Arabidopsis thaliana: one gene and its partner. The protein of the gene in region 2 interacts with the protein of the main gene of each other region in a pairwise test. Each region holds a gene or a part of one and is shown on either strand. Other genes may lie near its edges.

Region 1 (9,767 bases), on a different chromosome or scaffold from region 2:
GACATTGCTGAGACCTCGTCTTGGAACCTTCTAAATATCTCCATTGTGAAGACCTTTGCCATCTGGGACTCGTAGGGGTGCGTTGTTTTGAGCTTGGGGATCAACTTTAAGGACTCTGAGTCGCACAAGGCTTCTCTTGTGTACTTTTTATCCAGAAAAGATTCGTACCCTTCAAGGAATTCTCTCAGGGATGTGTTCTCATGAACATAGCCACTGAAGATGAACGGGGCTGCCACATTTCCCAGTGGAAAAGTCAGCGCCCCGGCCAAAAATGTATCCTTGAGGTAAACTGGAGCCCAGAGTTCTCGATCTTGAAACATGTCCCTGATGGTCTCGTTATTTGTCATCCCAAAGCGAATGATCATCTCTTCCCAAGCTGTTTCAAATTCTTCGACCTTGAGACAACCGTAGACTACTCTGTTAAGTGCCATAGGGAACAAGTCAGAATCTTGTAGTTGGACAACACTCTGACAGATGTTGTGCAGGACGTGGGTCAAGCTAAGACGATGATGAGCCCTTGGAAAAACTTCAGAGACAGCGGTCCGCATTGCCTTGCACTGTTCCGTGATAAAGATCTGTGGGGGACGGCCTAACATGCAGGTTAGCCACGCTCTGAAGAGCCAGACATAGGTCTCAAAGCTCTGATCAGCAAGCAAACCACAGCCGAGCAAGATTGTATCTCCATGGTGGTTAATTCCAACAAAGGCCACAAGGGGAAGCTCGTATGCGTTAGATAAACAAGTGGTGTCGAACAGAAGAACGTCGCCAAAGTGAGAGTATGCAGCCCTAGCTCGAGCGTCAATCCAAAAGACATTCCTGAGACTCCCGTCGTCGGCAAGGTCCATGAGGTAAAGAAAGTTGGGGCTGGAAAGCTGAATTTGGAAGAAGAAATCCTGCAAGGCCCTGAAACCCCCTCTGAGCTCCAAGCGCCTTGAAGATTGGAAGTGATCAAGGCTGAGATCGCTGGTCTCCCCGCTAGAGAGTGAAGTTCCAAGAGCGGGTGGTGTGTCAAGGGCAAGGGTTCGATACAATTTGATAGTCCGGACTTGGACATGGGGAGGTGGTTCGGGATTTGTCTTAGTTGCAGGAGAAGCTGAGGAGGAGGATTTCTTGTGAGACTTGGAATTGTGGGCACGTTGAGGATCAAAGGAGTGGTTGTGGTCGAGTTTGACTTGATCAACTTTCCATCGATCAAAGTGGATGAGTCGAAGGCGAATCATGGCCTGGCAGCCGGTGCGGGTCTCCTTTCTCCGGGAGTGAGCATCTTTAAGCAGCTTGAAACCTTGGCAGTTGCAACACAAGACAGCACCACGTTTCTCCTTGCTGTTACGCTTAGTCCAGGAGGACTTGACGCGGATAGCAAAACCGAGCTCACGGGCGTATGAGTTGTAGAAACTGTAAGCATCATCGTAGGACTCGAACTCCATTCCAGGAGTAGGAGGAGGAGCCATCAAACACTTTTCATTAGCAAAAGCGTTTTCGTCGCATCCAGTTTCTTCTTCGTGATTAGGTGCGATATGAAGCAAGCCGTGACAACAGGCGTCATCATCATCTTCAAGGTCAATATCGAGATCAGGGATTGGAGGAGGAGCAAGGTCATCATCATCATCATCAACAACCAGCTGCTCTTCCATCTGAAGACCATCAAATTCAAAATTGAAATCGAAATCGGAAACCCAAATTGAAATCAAAATTTGTAGTAAATAGAGAGAGAGAAAGGAAGACAGTAGAAACCAACCGCCGAGATGCAGAGATTAGGGTTGGGCGAGAGAGAGTGGTCGGACGGTGACGGTGACGGTGAGATGTAGACGCTATTACCGATCATCTTCCACTAAACTAAAAACTAAAATCAACAAACAAACAACAACAATCGTTTCATCTCAGAGGACGCTGAGCTACCTGAATCAACGGAGACTCTATCCCTTTTTTTTTTTTTGCTGCGCCAAGGAATAAAGTTTCTATACACTTGGTTTGTTGCATCTATTCTATGCGGTCTGTTTTGTTTTTGTCGCATAACTAAATAACCAGAGCGGAGGCATGTCTTTATATATATGGTAACAATTCCTCAATGACTCATTTCTCACGAATCGGGTAAATTTGACTGAGCACCACCACTATCCCCTTGCGTAAAATATAAAACATAGACAACTAACTACCATCAAAACTCAACATGGGCAATTCTTGGGGGGACTTCGCAGGCGTACGAATAGGGCACACAACTTTTGATAAAGAAGTTGACAAACGAAAACAGAATAACACATATCAACATTACAAAATATCAATTTGAACCCAAACGGACAAAAGAATAAATTACAGATGAAGGACGCCCACGGCTCAAGCTCAAGCTCTCATAACAACGAAAACAAAACAAAAATTCTTTTCAATTGCACAACAACCTCCTGAAAACAAAACAGCAAACACAAGTTCAAATTATAATGTGGTTAAAACCTCTCTTCAATTGGTATCTTGAGAGAAATTGCGTACCTAATAAAAATAGGTAACAATAATAGCAGCCCAAACGGCTTCATAAAGCAGTTGGAGAAGCACCAAGGGCCTGCTGCTCCTAAGGAGCTCTTCTCTCTCACCCTCCTCCTTTCACTCCACTTAGTCAAATTAGATGACCTTCTTCCTTTCCACTCTTCTTTACTCACTTGCTAAAGCTCATCTCCGAGTATCTGCACATCCCTCGTCAACATGTGCTCGTTAGTGTTTCATTTCATCCTGGACCAATATTAACATTTCATTTCCACAAATATCTGTATCCAACTACTCCTGTGGTACTTTGATTTCAAGGTGGTTTCACGTCACACTAACACTGACCGATAAATAAACTAGATTGCTTCAAAACTCACCTACGAGGCTGCTTGTTTGGGTTGCTATTTGACCGTTGAGAATTCCCATTGTTCGTAACCTCTACATCAATAAACCCCCATACGAATCAGTCTCTCCATGTAATCATTCAAATTTCTTATTCGCCAAAACACAACAAAATCTTCTGAATCCATTATAACAACCCCATTTAATTGGCAAGAGTTATTACTTACCAGGTCTCTCCATGGGCTCTTCATCATTAGGATTATTGGAACTGTTCTCTTGGCTGCAACAAAAAATCAAAAATATAAGGTAATTGGGTACTTGAGCTCAAATTATATGCTTTACTAGACGCTCATAATCAGAGATGATTGACATGGTTACATGAGTGCCCAACCAAGAAAGTGAGTCTGTTTAATGAAAACTACATGTTTCTGGGTGTACATAGTCGAGAAACTACTAATCTAAGCACTTAAGAAATGTAAATCTAACAGGTAACAAGCATTTTGCAGTGGGTCTAGAATAAGAGGAACCACAAATCTAAAATCTCACATACGTTACTTAGTTAAGGGCTTAAAGCTGCATTCCCATACTACTCTTCCTCTAAGGTAAAAAGCAAAGAGTCTACACATATGCATATGGAAATGACATGTTGATTAACAATACTGAGAAAATTATTTCTAAACCTGGACGATCCGGCAGAGGAAGGTAACCCTGGTTTGTCTGCTTGGTAAGAACCATCAAGGACAGTATAAGGTGGACAATATGAACCCCCTAATGCTCCAGGGCCAGCCAAAATTGGCAGCCTGTCAATAATTTAAGAAAATAATAGCAGTAATAAGGACCTACTATAGATAGAGAAATAGGGAAATCAAACAAAAAACAAACAGCAGACGAGTGAAAGCAATAATTCAGGTTCTGTTTGGGCTAGTAAAAGACTAGTTACAAGATTAAACATCCTCTCAAATTACAAAAGCATGCAGCAAGTCAACTAAGAATGCACCAAATATATAACTTTTAAAACATAGCTGTGGAACTGCATACCATGTCATCTCAGGATTTCCGGTACCATGTTCTGGTTGGAAATAACCTGGAAGAGCCATTCCAAAAGTTGGAACCCCACCATGCTGACCACCGAATTGCATAACTGAACATGAAAATGAAAACAAACAAGTTTAAACTAGTCAGGCGTGCATATTAGCACCTGTACAAAAAGGTGCCGTTCTCAAGCGGCCCTAGACATGGGCAACCAGGCCAAGCGGCTCAGCATCAATAGCTCTCAATTTCACTAGCATGCATAGATTGATTCTGAAAGATGTCTTTCAACCATTACAATGTAGGATGAACAATGACATTCAAGAACAACTTACCAGGTAGAAAAGCAGGGAAATTTGGATTGCCGTGACCAGCTGCCATCCCGGCAGGGCCCATAAACTGTGTCCCTCCATACATAAAAGATCCCCTTCCACTAGGTTGGAGAGACCCTTTTCCCTTGGCAACCAAAGCACCTGTTTCTACGGCTGACTCTATTTCACCAGAAAGATACGGATTTTCTGATGATCCGGTTTTTGGAGGAGAAGAAGGCAGCAAACTGATAACAGCCGAATGTTGATTAAAAACCTGACCAGGAAGTTGAGTACAGCTCTGGTCAGTGCCTTTAGGCATTCCACGGATTTGCATCGGCGAAGAAACTTTGTCACCTTGATTAGGAGATTGCTGGTAAAGCACTTGCCCATGAGGAGGTACACCTCTACCATGACTTGTAGTCTGAGCAGTGCGTCCCCACAAGGAGCTGGATTTTGTATTCCCAAACTTCTTTCCAGTCGGATTAGGGTTTTCATTAATGTGCAGCCTACCCATGCCAGCTTGTACATCCTTTTGTGCCAAGTTATTGTTGGATCTTGAAGGATAAAATGGAGGAGAAGCTGAATTTAAACTTGAAGCAAATACATTCTTTTTGGCTTGGATGGCTTCAGTCTCTAAGGTAGCTGTTTCTGTTGGTGGACGCCCTAAATCAACGTGTGACACTTCCACAGACGAATTTTGGGACCTAAAGATTCCGTAAAAAGACACAACAATTAGAGACCTAGAGCCTTCATGTGTTGACTAGAGAGGAAACAAAATTAAGGACTCACTGTTTGGTTTGCACAGAAGGTGCTTGATTCCCATTTCTCAATGCAACCTCATATCTTCTGGCCCCCCTCCCTCTCGTGACAGCCTTCGGAAACTGATTTTGGTGTCCATTGCCAGTAAATTCTTTAGAATTGTTCCCCCGAGACTGTCCACGGTCCTGACCCCTACCCTGACCACGACCTCTGCCTCGGCCTCTCGAAGTCCTCCTCTATGTTCACAAGTTTAATTAATCAGCTTTCAAAAGGAAAAAAAAAAGGAAAAAGAAAAAAGAGGTGGCAAATGTATAAACACAGCAAGAGGAAACAAGTCGATGAATACAAATATATTTATGAAAAGGAGAGAAAGAGAAAGAGAGATGATCAGAGAAAAGTACATCATATTGCTGTTTCTGTGTATTCATTTCCTCGAATTTGTCATGTCCCCACTTTCTTTCATCTCTGGATTGCCAGAGCCTCCTACCACCACGCATTCGCCTACAGAAATAAAAAACGAAAACCTATATCGGTTGGCATTACCATGTAACTAAACAGAATGTTAAATGGAAAAATAGCAGTGTGATGGCATCTCGGGTAGATTCATACATAAAGATTCACAATCAAAGTTAAAACATAAAACCAAAGCAGTTGTTCCAATCTATCTGAACTCTGAAGTACATCATGAGATTGAATGACGGAAAGTCGTTTGCTAATTTCACCTATCAATGTACTCTACCTCAATAGTAGATAGATACATTTGCATAGTTTGGACAAAACACTACCTCCTCATAGAATCAAAAAGAGTTTACCTATTAGAGGCGGCATCCAATTCCTGAAATCTGTCATCATGCATATAGAAAGCTCCAGCAGTAGGCACTGCAAAAGGTTCCTTCTTCTTTTGTTCCTCTCCATCCACAAGATCAGTGGCGGCAGAGTCATCGGTCCCATTGCCGGCGACAATTGTCTTGTCATTATTATCCGCAATGTATTCGACATGGTCATCAACTTGTCCATAATCACCATCTTCCTCTTCGTCGTCATCATCACCATAACTATCTTCTATGTGCAATCCTTCATTATCATCAGAGTCGACAACAACAACACCACTGTGTTCATCGGAATGAATCTGGATTGCTGCTCGCAGCTTATCATGGTCGTCCGCTTCTTCATCATCCTCATCATCATCGCTGGCTTCTCTCCTCCGTGTAGCCAAGGAGCGGTTCAACTCGTCGGGATCACTCTCATAGTCGGAGTCTTCAACGCCATCAGGGGCCATCAATCCCTCTAAATCGGAGGGCCAAACCGAAAACCTAGAAGAGGAATAAATTGAATAGAGCAATCAATCGGATATGGGACAAACTAGTATATCTCTACGGAGAGAGACGACGATACCAGGAGATCAGAGCGAGAGAATCTCCTCAGTGTTTCTTCATGAGAGATCCGCAGATAGATAGATAGAGAGATAGATAATTATAATAAGAAAAAACCTCTTAAAGATTATTAAGATTGATTGGGTTTACTTTGTAGACGGGAAGACTCTTTCCGTTGGGTCTTCTTATCAAATCGAATGGGTTTTTTACTACTTGTAGACTGATGATGATGCACCTACAACATTTGACGCTTGAGTTCTTTTTTCCCAGTTTTTGGGAATTATCCAACTTGACTACTTTATTAACTTTTTTTTAACCAACAATACTAATTGATAAGTTTAATACAAATTAGCTCTACCTTATCACTTTTTCTCTCAACTATTGTTGTCTATTAATCCTGACAAAAGTGACCATGTTAATATAAATAAAACATGTGGTTTCTATATAAATCAAGGGTATATAACTCCATTGGTCAACAACTTGAATATCAATCAAAACCGGAAAATTAACTTCCATAGGTGCATGCAAGTGTGTAACTCAATGGAGTAGTTGAACCTATACACAGTTTGCAGTAAGAAGCAACAAGAAAATTTAAAATCATTTCCAAGACAAAATGGGTAGAAGAATAATGATATGGTGATGGTGATTACGGACAGTGGAAGAATGCAAGGAACTTTGTTTTGGGTCCTTGTTTGCTTTGAGAGATGTTTCGAGATGCGTCTCCTCCACAATACTAATAATAATGCACCATGCGTTATCCTCTGGCTCTTTCCCAACTTATCCCTTCACTTTGATTATTTCCAATTAAGTTTTTTGCTACTGCTATTGAGTTTTGCAAAAAAAAAAAAGATATCAACTACATAACCTATTGAATCGAAAGTCAAAACATATTATATGGGTGAAATCTCAGTTCAAAACAGATATTCTACAGGTGAAATCTCTCATAAGTTAAAGCTACATAAGAGTCCCAAAACCCCCTTTTTTTTTAATATGTATCTGTATTAAAAGCACAAAGCGGAAGCTATCAATAGATCAGTTTTTTAACAATGGAAACTAATCTCTCTCTGTGCTGCCTCATTTCTCTGCTGAATGTATCAAGTTTCAAAGCCAAGAAAATATCTATCTGTGTATGTCTTCACTCTTCACCAACCCTACTCTTGTGGCGGTGTTAGAACTGTACAACAAACAAATATTTAATCAGTCCACGGATTGATAAAAAAGTTAATGGCATAGAGAAGCACTATTTAAAAGACAGTCAACATCAAAAGTAAGATGATCAGTAAGACGAAGATGGGAGGCAGACAGATGAGGAAACATTGATGGACAGATGCAAACGCAAATCCTATGATATATGTGCAGATGGCAAAAGGATATTTTGGTGCAGCGACATCTTATAATCAATTGATAACCACAAATGCTATAAGGCTGATGCGGTTCCTTCACTAATCTTACCCCACTGTTCTTCAGACTCGTTACCATTAACTAGCACAGCACCATCCGTAGAGTCAGCGTCCACCACAACAGCCTCTTCTTCCACATTCTGCTGTCTCCCATCACTACTCTCTTCCTGACGATCCTCCTCCTCCTCTTCCTCTCCATCTTCCCCCTCTTCCCCAACCTGTTCACAACAAATGAAGCAGCGACAGTAGAATTAATGATCCTACCATTGTCCACCATGGCCAAGACCATTGGATTGGATATCATGGGTAAAAGACAATCCTCTTCAATGCATGTAATGTAAACATGCATACCTCGTCGAGAACATCCCCTTGCTCAAGTCGACCCTCTTCCTCTATTTGCATAATTCTAAAAGCATCCACTAAAGTTGTATGATCTCTGTCTGCATGACTACAATAATCCCCAGCAGGAGGATGGACGCCCCTGCAAGATAAGTCAACAAAAATACTTTGTTTATGAGGATCCTGAAAAAATGAAATCGACATTCGGCTTATGTTTATACGGGTATAAATTCAAATTATAAGCAAATACATGACGGCTACCTTGCTATGTAATACAGACACATGACTCTAAATGGCTTAAGTCCCACAATTCAATTAAAAAGGTTTCCTCATAAGCACTGTTTTTAAGAATAAGCTAATGACGGCAACGACGAAAAGATACCTCGTCTCTGCAGCTCTATTTTCAAGGGACAGGGCGACTTGCCACTCCTCAAAGAGATTGGGATACTCTTCGGGATCAGCCAGAGATTCAGCAGCCTTTGGACTTATCTATATCCAGATTGACAGAGGATGAAGAAAAATTGTGGATATCTCAACAGGCAAGGTTTGAAATTCAATCACAAGGTGCATCGGATGTGTCTACCACTAACCTTGGTCAAATCGTTTCTCCACAATGCCACTATTTCGGAGACCTTGCTTGGAAGGTACGATCTCGCCATCAGAGCGGCTTCAGGTATTCGATTACTGTAACCATATTAATATCAGCATAGACGTAATTAGTTGCGGGAATATATGTTCCACATGTAAGAAATAGTAAACAATGTACCTTTCCACCAACAGATGCAGGCAGTCTTCTACTTGACCCAACATGAACAAGCAAAGAAAAGCGACATTGTTCTTTCCTTGCTCTTTTGCAAGTGCTGCCAGCTTCATCATTCCATCTGCATCTCCCAATGAAGAATAAAGCAGCAGCAGACCACTCAAATCCATAGCATGCCTCATGCATTCCTCAGCCATATCCAGCTAAGTAGTCCAAGCATGGGAAGGAAAATGAAAAGAAAAATACATGTTAGCTTTAACCTTTGTAAGAATCCTAGAACACTGATTGCAGCTAAAAAATGGTCACCTTCCCACTTGACATAGCTAATTCTCCAAGTTGCTTCCATTTAGATTCATTTTGTGCCTCTACAGCAATGTCCTGTCAAAAAATAAGAATCGAGTAAAAACATATCGGTAAGTCATGGAAATAAAGCTTCTCAAATGGTAAAAACTACAGACTAACCTTTGCGACAGCCAATCTACCGAGCTGTATGGCCAACTCAAATCTGTAGTCAGGATCAGTTGCTACTTCTAGAGCATCTTCTGTCATGCCACGTGACTCCAAAAAGTGTGCCACGCTGACAAAACGAACAGGATTTTGAAGTCGAGAATCAGAAAAGTAGGAATGCGTGAATTTAGGAAAACAATTTAAACCATTATGTGACCTTGGATACATGTTTACTAACACCATAATCCAGCTGTAACCATAATGCGAGGGAAAGCACATTCTCATACCTATTATGGTGCTCCTTAGGAATTGAAGGTAAGACTTCATTAGCCTGTTCCAAATCTCCACGCATCACAAGAGTCTTGTACTCAATCAAACTTAAAAGTAAAGTGTATCCAATAACACTGTAATCATAAAGTGGACACAGAAGTCAGTAAGTTACAAAACATTGTTAGCAATCATAACAGTAAAACATCTGCTTACTTGAACTCTTTGTCAATCAAATAAACCCTGCTTTGATTAGCGAGATAAC
Region 2 (7,730 bases):
TTCAACAGCTTCATCACTGTTACTAAGCACCATAGCACATAGCTCATCTAAAGCTAGCATTGAAAATGGCTCCTCTATAAGAACACCCACCTGCAGACATTTCAAGCACCAACTTAAAGAGTGATAATGAGGCAAGAAAAAAAAAATGTGACTAATCTATGAACGAGAAAAAGTTAGGTACTTCTTCAATGCAGAAGAGAGAGGCAGCACTGATGAAAGTAGCAGGGACTACATTCCAGTGGCAATCATCCCAGAGAATAACAGGGAGTGTTAGATGCCATAAGACTAAGAACCTCGACGTTAGTCGTGTGTAGGAAAGTGGAATCGGAATTCCCATTAGTTGTTCACATACACCAATTCCTTCCTGTAATTGCATCATCTTTGTTTCCTGTGAAGGAGAACACTAAACATTATAGTGCATATCCAAAGTCTATGGAAAGAGAATTACATTCAGAAATCACAGTCAAATGAATGAAGATGCTTAAAAGATTCAAGAAAGATACCAACATATCTATCTTTGTACTATCCAAATTCAGCAGCTGAAGGCTCTGAGAAATGAATTGAATGACACAACGTGGACGATGCTTGGATTGAAGAATCAAAGACAGATCATCTACTTCTATCACATTCTTGAGATCACTAGCAATATCTGAACCATAAATCACATGGCACTGCACATGAATAGAATCACAATCACGAACCTTCCTCTACCTAACTCAACATAAGCTAACTTCACAAAACAAACCTTAAGCGCCACAGGGAAAGCAACAATGTAACGCAAAAGCGCATCTCTGATGATCAATTCATCACCGGAGCCATGAACAGAAGAAATAACTAGCCTAGCTAAATCATTGGTTCCACTAATGATCTTAACCCAAGCTTTCCTTCCTTGTTCAAACCTTGAATAAGAAGCCTCAGTGCGAAACACTAGAAGCAGAGCTAAAGCCGGAGCCGTAAGCTGATACGGTAGAGGAGAAGCTCGAAGTACAGGGAAGAAATCAGGCAACCAGTCCAAATCCACGGCGGAGTTATAGCCGGCGATCAGGATCGCGACGGTGGTGAAGAAGAAAACAGGCGGAATCAAAGACAGTATAACGCGTGAAGATGGGCTCGAGGATACGTGACGGAGATGGCGAAGAGAGCTTCTGTGTCTGACCCAATTCTCGTGAGTGTAGAGAGATCGTTTCTGCTGCATCCGTCTCTCTTTGATACCGTCAGACCAGTTTGGGACAGCTTTAAGCAGCGAAATGAGCTTCTCGGATAGAGGTGAATCGTCGGATTTGGGGCCGGAGGAGACGCAGGAAGGATTGAATTTGAAATGTAGGGATTTGGGAGCTCTGGCGGAGATTCCGGAGTATAATCGTGGTTTGAGAAAGGATAGGTTGGTAAAGTTAGAAGAAAAAGATAGGTTCATTGACTGATACATTTTGGGCGGGAAAATCGAGGTTTAGGGTTAGGGATTTTGGTGGAGACGACGATGAAGAAGAAGAAGCAGAGACAACAATAAAGACACATGCAAAAATTGCAGAGTGCATAAGTAAAGAGAGACAAGTGTGACTTGGAGAAAGGTAGTTGGAACGAACAGTTGTGCGCTCGACAACGTTTCGGTTTCTAAGCTTTTATCTGGGCTTAAATGGGCTTATACTGAAACTTCTATTCTATCTTCTAAATGGGCTTATGTCTTATCTCAGCCCATTAAAGTTCCGTACCCTTTGAGGTCAGTTGAAATTTAGGGTTTATAGAGAACGCCTATCTGGTTGGAGAGGTGAAATTGGAACGGAAAAAATGTCGAAGAAGAACAATTTAGCCAAGAGAAAGAAGCAGCACGAGTACAATCTCCAAAGTAGGTTTCTTTAAATCTCTTTAAACGCTTTCAATTCAATACGCATGTGTTTCTCAACAAAACTTGGAATTTTTTCGATTTGCAGAAGAGAAAGAGTTACAGGACAAGAAGATCAAGAAGCTTCATGCCAACAAGAATAAGATGAAAGTAAGGACCTTTTCTGTCTCTCTTATCTCTTAATTCTGATATTTAGTTCATATACATTGGTGTTCGTTAAGTAGCAAACCGATTCTGTTGCAGAGAATGGTCTTTTCTAGCTATATATTACTCTAGTTGGTTACCAATGGTGAAATGATTGAATTCGCTTGGATTCAATTTGATTTCGATAGTGTTAGTCAGAAGCTTATGTGGGGTAAAAATAATAATATTGAATCTTCTTAGTAGAACATCTGACGAATAAGTTTGAGTTTTCCAAATCATTTAAATGAAGTCTAGAGTAGTTTATGATATCTGTGAGTTGGTTGATTTTGTTGTCTAGGTTGATGGAAGTGGGAAGAAGAAGAAAGGTGGATTTTCTGTTGGCAAGAAGAAATTAAAGACAAAACTGACTCCAACTGCTAAAGCTAAAGCTGCTCAGGCAATGGAGCTAGACAATTGACAAGGAACTTCGTTTTTTTTCACTTGTATGTAAAATTGTTCTTCATTGATCTTCGTCTTTACTTTGGAGAAATCATGTTGAAGCTAGCTTCTTCTTATAGGTTAAACTCTTATGTATCACTCTCTCTTTTGAATGCAAGATTTTGCTATCTAACCGGATCGGGATCATTGTGGAATGTAGCTATTGATGAAGTGAAATGTGTATGGTTCCTAATTGCTTCTAAAGTTCAAATTCAGCATAGATTCTGATTTCTCTGAGAAAAAGTCAACTTTTAGGTAAACAAAACAAAGACACAAGTATGTTTATAATTGGCATAAGACTTTCATGGTGCATTAGTCAGACCCAAGATCTTTTCTAGTTTATTAGTACATTCCAGTATTCCACTAAACATATTTTGAAGAAAAAAACTGTCTTTTAGAAAGTCAAATTATGTTTGTCATAATCAAAAGTCTTATACAAACAGTGTCACACATTACATGGTACATTTAAAGTTGAATCCTAATAGGAAAAAATCTCAAAGGCTTTGAGAGGTTATATCATCCCATCAATGGGTCCTTGCGAGATATTTTATAGATTTCTTCTGATCAGCCTCTCTCTCTCGTCAAAATAGTTCTCAAAGTGGAAGCCAGTGGGCAAGTCTCTGACCAGACAGGCCCAAATCTTTTCTCACTCTCCGGCGCGTGGCCTCCACTGTCTCTACAGATTCTTCCGTCTCAGATCAAATTCCGAAGAGATCAATCAGTCTATAGAAACAGTAGAGAGACTAGTAAGAAGTAGCATCAGCTTGAAAAGGAGGAATCTGTTCACCAAGATTTCTGGTTGAGAAGAAAGAAGAGTGACATGTTGGTGCACGCGCCTGAATAAAGAGTGTGGCCATAAGAGTCATGTGCCATACAGATGCCTAGTTGCTATATAGAGCTACAGTCAAAGTCAGTTTATTCATTAGGATTTTGAATTTCCAAATACATTTTCAGAAAAAAAAGAATTAAAAGATCCCATTGTTGTTATCCTCACAGTAAATGCTTTTGCTTGAGAGAGAGTCTGTTAGAGGTTTTTTGTTTGTTTCTGTTTCCTTCTGTCACCCAGAAAACTAAAAAGCAAACAAATTCAAGAAGAGAGAGAGAGAGAGATAGCCTCAAAACCAAGTCCTAACCATTGTTGATAGAAGAGAAAGCTTTTCTTTTCTTGTTGCTTATGGTGAAAGAATGAAAGAGAGAGAGGAGGAGAAGTAAGAAGCAGAGAAAGTGTTTAGAGCTTTGCATGTTCCTTTCTCTCCAAGTTTATATCTTCATCGTAAAGTCTCTCAACCTTTGATTCTGTTTTTTCCTCTTATCCATTTATCCTCTTTCTTTTTCTCTCTCTCCTCATAATTCTAGCCACAATCTTTTTAGGGTTTCACAAGTTCACTTAAAAAGTTGAAAAGAGTCTTTCTTCTTCAACTATTGTAAATGCGAAATGGATCGAAGAGATGCAATGGGATTATCCGGGTCAGGTTCTTACTATATCCATAGAGGATTATCCGGGTCGGGTCCTCCAACGTTTCATGGATCACCACAGCAACAGCAAGGTCTTCGTCACTTACCTAATCAAAACTCTCCATTCGGGTCAGGCTCCACTGGTTTCGGATCTCCTTCTTTACACGGTGATCCTTCTCTGGCAACAGCAGCCGGAGGAGCCGGAGCTCTTCCTCATCATATCGGCGTTAATATGATTGCTCCTCCTCCACCTCCCAGTGAAACTCCGATGAAACGAAAGAGAGGACGGCCTAGAAAATACGGTCAAGACGGCTCTGTTTCTTTGGCTCTGTCGTCTTCCTCTGTTTCGACCATTACTCCCAACAACTCTAACAAACGCGGCCGTGGTCGACCTCCGGGCTCCGGCAAGAAACAGAGAATGGCTTCCGTTGGTAATTAACTATCTATCTCTGAAACTTGCAATCTTGAAAAAAGAAAGCTCCATTATATATTGAATCAAGAACCAGGATTATTTTATGTTTTCTCAAGTCAAAATATCCAATTGTTTATTCCTAATGAGTGGGAACTTAAAACTTTCCTAAATTGGAACTAATTTTGTTGTCTTTCTTTGTATTATGCTCTGCTTAAACTCTTATGAATTAGACTCGCATTTATTGATTCAATGAGCCTGTTTTTTTTGTTCTTTTGAAATTGATTAGGTGAACTGATGCCTTCATCTTCTGGAATGAGCTTCACGCCACATGTTATCGCGGTTTCAATAGGAGAAGTAATGTTGAATCACTAACTATTTCAGAGCTTTCGTGAAATGTTTTTTATTTGCTGATTGCTGAAAAGCTTTGAAACTTTGCAACAGGATATTGCATCAAAGGTTATAGCTTTCTCTCAACAAGGTCCGAGAGCCATTTGCGTTTTATCTGCAAGTGGTGCAGTCTCTACTGCAACACTTATTCAACCATCAGCATCTCCCGGAGCCATTAAATACGAGGTTCAATTTTGAAATTTCTTACTATATAGAGAAACATTGGTGTTTTCACTGTTTTTCTTATAACATATGTTTTTGTATATTTCCAGGGCCGGTTTGAAATCCTAGCGTTATCAACATCTTATATAGTGGCAACTGATGGAAGCTTCCGTAACCGAACTGGAAACTTATCGGTTTCGCTTGCTAGCCCCGATGGGCGTGTGATTGGCGGTGCCATTGGTGGGCCTTTAATAGCTGCAAGTCCTGTTCAGGTTTGGTTTACACTTTTCTCTTGAGCTCTCATATTTCTTGGGATTGAATAAAGATTCTTGGGTCTATCAGGTTATTGTAGGGAGCTTTATATGGGCAGCTCCAAAGATCAAGAGCAAGAAACGAGAAGAAGAAGCTTCTGAAGTTGTTCAAGAAACTGATGATCACCACGTTCTGGACAATAATAACAACACGATTTCGCCTGTCCCTCAGCAGCAGCCAAACCAAAACCTGATTTGGTCAACAGGTTCAAGGCAAATGGATATGCGTCATGCTCATGCTGATATTGATTTAATGCGCGGTTGATGATAGCGAGAAAGAACTCTGTGTATATAAAGCATGGAATCTAGGAAGAAGAAGAAGGAATATAAGCTAACCTCTGAACAAAAGTATGTGGAAATGTTAGGGAAAAAGATTATGTGGAAATGTTAGGGAAAAAGATTAACTCTATTAGTGTACCTCTCATATCTCTAAGCTTGTTTGGTTTTACTGTTTCTGTGACTCTGAAGATTTGCAGAGTTCCTTTCTTTCTCTGTTTTAGATTGTTCAGTCTTTATGTAATTTGCTTGCAATTCTGATTCTACAGCTTAGATTCAGTACATTGTGTAGAAGTTTACATGGGAACCTGAAAATTGGGCATTTCATGGGCCTTCATATGATCCAATTTATTTTCATCAAATTTGTATTAGTACATAATTAATTTTGTTTTTTATAATAGCTCAATGTTTAAGAATCTTCTTCTGTTCCTGCCAATACTCATTAGTCCACTTCTCAACTTCTTTCTCAACACTTTCTTTCTTCTCAAGAAACTTTTTGAGCTCATCTTCTTCAAAAGGTGGAGGCATCTCACAAGTAGCCTTAACGCTCGGAGACATAACCAATGAGTCATCCATAGATTGTCTCATTCGGCCTCCATTGATTGGACAAGCCATTGTCTCCGGACACACTTCCTTGGCTCCTTGAGGCACTTCTACATTCATCTTCATCAACTTCCCATAGCTTTGCAGTAGATGCAACATGTAATCATACACATACTTCATCTTTAGATTCTTTCGCACATACCCACTTCCATTTCTCCCTATAGCTCTGGCCTATAAAACATGAGAAGATCATAGCAAAATGTTGTTGTTACAGTACTTCTCTTGCTAGTTTAAGAGATATTATTGAATCTTTTGTTACCAAATTGTTCTAGAAATCTAAACATCAAAGAAAAGATAGAGTTGTAACAAAACAAAAAAAATATTTTGTTTGAAGTTTCTAAAGACACAGGAGCGGTTATGTTGTTATATGATACCTTTTTGGTATTGTTGTTGCCCCAATGGACAGCAAAGACAATGTCACTACATTTTTCTTGAGGTCTTATGGGCCAATAATGCTCCATTGGAACTAAGCTTCTAGTGAAGAAGTCAAAGTAAAATGGCTTCACAAGAAGAGTCATGCTGTCACAAGCTAATATATACTTCTCACTCACTGACCAAGCCCTTCCTTCTACATAAATCTTGTACCTTCATTATACAAAAATAAAAATAAGCCCTTATTACTAATATTAAAATTTAATTCATCAAATAACTCGAGAACAGCAAAAAGATTCATATAAAACCTGTGGGTGCATTGATCTTCTAGGTTTGATGTCCTATACCCAATCCTGCCCTCTCTGCTCCAATCCTACAATTAACATTGTCATCAACTCATCAAGTTACTAGAATCTTCTAGATCATTATCATAAAAGAGATCACGGTAAAGAGATATAAATATAAAGAAACCTGGCGATAGAGATGAACCATAGGGTCATGACAATGCATGAGGTCTCTTCTGACCATGGCAACTCCAGGATTCCCCTTCCAATATGCGTAAGGCTCTCTCTCTTCCCACTTCACCTTCTTTATCCCTTCACTTATCAACTCCGACTGTTTATTCCACTCCTTTATGTTAATCTCCGGCCTAACCATAATTAGGGGTGTGAGCACATAGATATTCGAACCAAACTTTTAAAATCCAAACAAGAGTTTTCTTTATAACTGTATAACGGTTTTCGTATTTTTATACAGATTGATGGGTTTGTATGCAACCATAAATCGATTATAGTACCAGCCCCAAAAGCTCCAGTCAGGGAAGACAATGTCGAAAGCACCGGAATGTCCACAATAGTGGAAGAGTGGAGGAGGTGGCCACGTCACATTGACTCCTGGTCTTGGCCTATAGTCTCTTCTCCAGATTTCAGGTGAGTCATGGCACATGAAGAGAAGCTCAAGATCAGGGACTTGACCAGGATACATCCTTAGCAGCTGTACTATTCCCCATATAGTGAAAACATCTCTTGTCTGAAAAGATTTCTTGTATTGATGCACATACACTCTTCCTCCTTTTATTATCAGCCGGAAGTGAGCTTTATCACTTGCTCTCTCTAACGTCTCTCGAGTGATTCCAGTCTCACGCCATGCTTCAAGATCCTTGTGGATCCACCTGAAGTAGTCTGGACAAGTCTCTGGCTCGTCCTTACTAGGTTGTGATTTCTCCGGGTTGCTTGCAGGACACGTCTGGGTTGCTATGTTCTGGTCTAGTGAGCATTGCAATGTGAAGTTC

What was found.
Region 1: the proteins of AT2G45850 (region 2) and AT1G80000 interact in a two-hybrid assay, tested with the Arabidopsis thaliana proteins (one large-scale study listed by BioGRID).

Annotation. Positions count from the first base shown.
Region 1 is NC_003070.9:30,089,623-30,099,389, reverse strand, and holds AT1G80000 (CASC3/Barentsz eIF4AIII binding protein), read right to left. Parts: upstream 6,584-9,767; 5' UTR 6,196-6,583; coding exon 5,729-6,195; intron 5,418-5,728; coding exon 5,318-5,417; intron 5,153-5,317; coding exon 4,947-5,152; intron 4,862-4,946; coding exon 4,182-4,861; intron 3,959-4,181; coding exon 3,856-3,958; intron 3,618-3,855; coding exon 3,498-3,617; intron 3,098-3,497; coding exon 3,045-3,097; intron 2,914-3,044; coding exon 2,853-2,913; intron 2,722-2,852; coding exon of another isoform or gene 2,712-2,721; exon of another isoform or gene 2,676-2,711; coding exon 2,648-2,675; 3' UTR 2,485-2,647; intron 2,400-2,484; 3' UTR 2,067-2,399; downstream 1-2,066. Other genes in the region: FRS8 (FAR1-related sequence 8), read right to left, coding at 1-1,634, 1,739-1,825; AT1G79990 (coatomer subunit beta-2), read right to left, coding at 7,441-7,463, 7,742-7,907, 8,041-8,170, 8,411-8,517, 8,619-8,712, 8,795-8,991, 9,095-9,166, 9,251-9,365 and 2 more. UniProt on the Arabidopsis thaliana protein: Core component of the splicing-dependent multiprotein exon junction complex (EJC) deposited at splice junctions on mRNAs.
Region 2 is NC_003071.7:18,869,624-18,877,353, reverse strand, and holds AT2G45850 (AT hook motif DNA-binding family protein), read left to right. Parts: upstream 1-3,381; 5' UTR 3,382-3,734; exon of another isoform or gene 3,735-3,832; 5' UTR 3,833-3,896; coding exon 3,897-4,347; intron 4,348-4,614; coding exon 4,615-4,682; intron 4,683-4,769; coding exon 4,770-4,901; intron 4,902-4,987; coding exon 4,988-5,149; coding exon of another isoform or gene 5,150-5,173; exon of another isoform or gene 5,174-5,219; coding exon 5,220-5,453; 3' UTR 5,454-5,866; downstream 5,867-7,730. Other genes in the region: AT2G45870 (Bestrophin-like protein), read right to left, coding at 1-90, 182-388, 504-671, 746-1,426; AT2G45860 (uncharacterized protein), read left to right, coding at 1,786-1,843, 1,929-1,990, 2,322-2,441; AT2G45840 (O-glucosyltransferase rumi-like protein (DUF821)), read right to left, coding at 5,867-6,238, 6,442-6,652, 6,748-6,812, 6,911-7,088, 7,236-7,730. UniProt on the Arabidopsis thaliana protein: Transcription factor that specifically binds AT-rich DNA sequences related to the nuclear matrix attachment regions (MARs).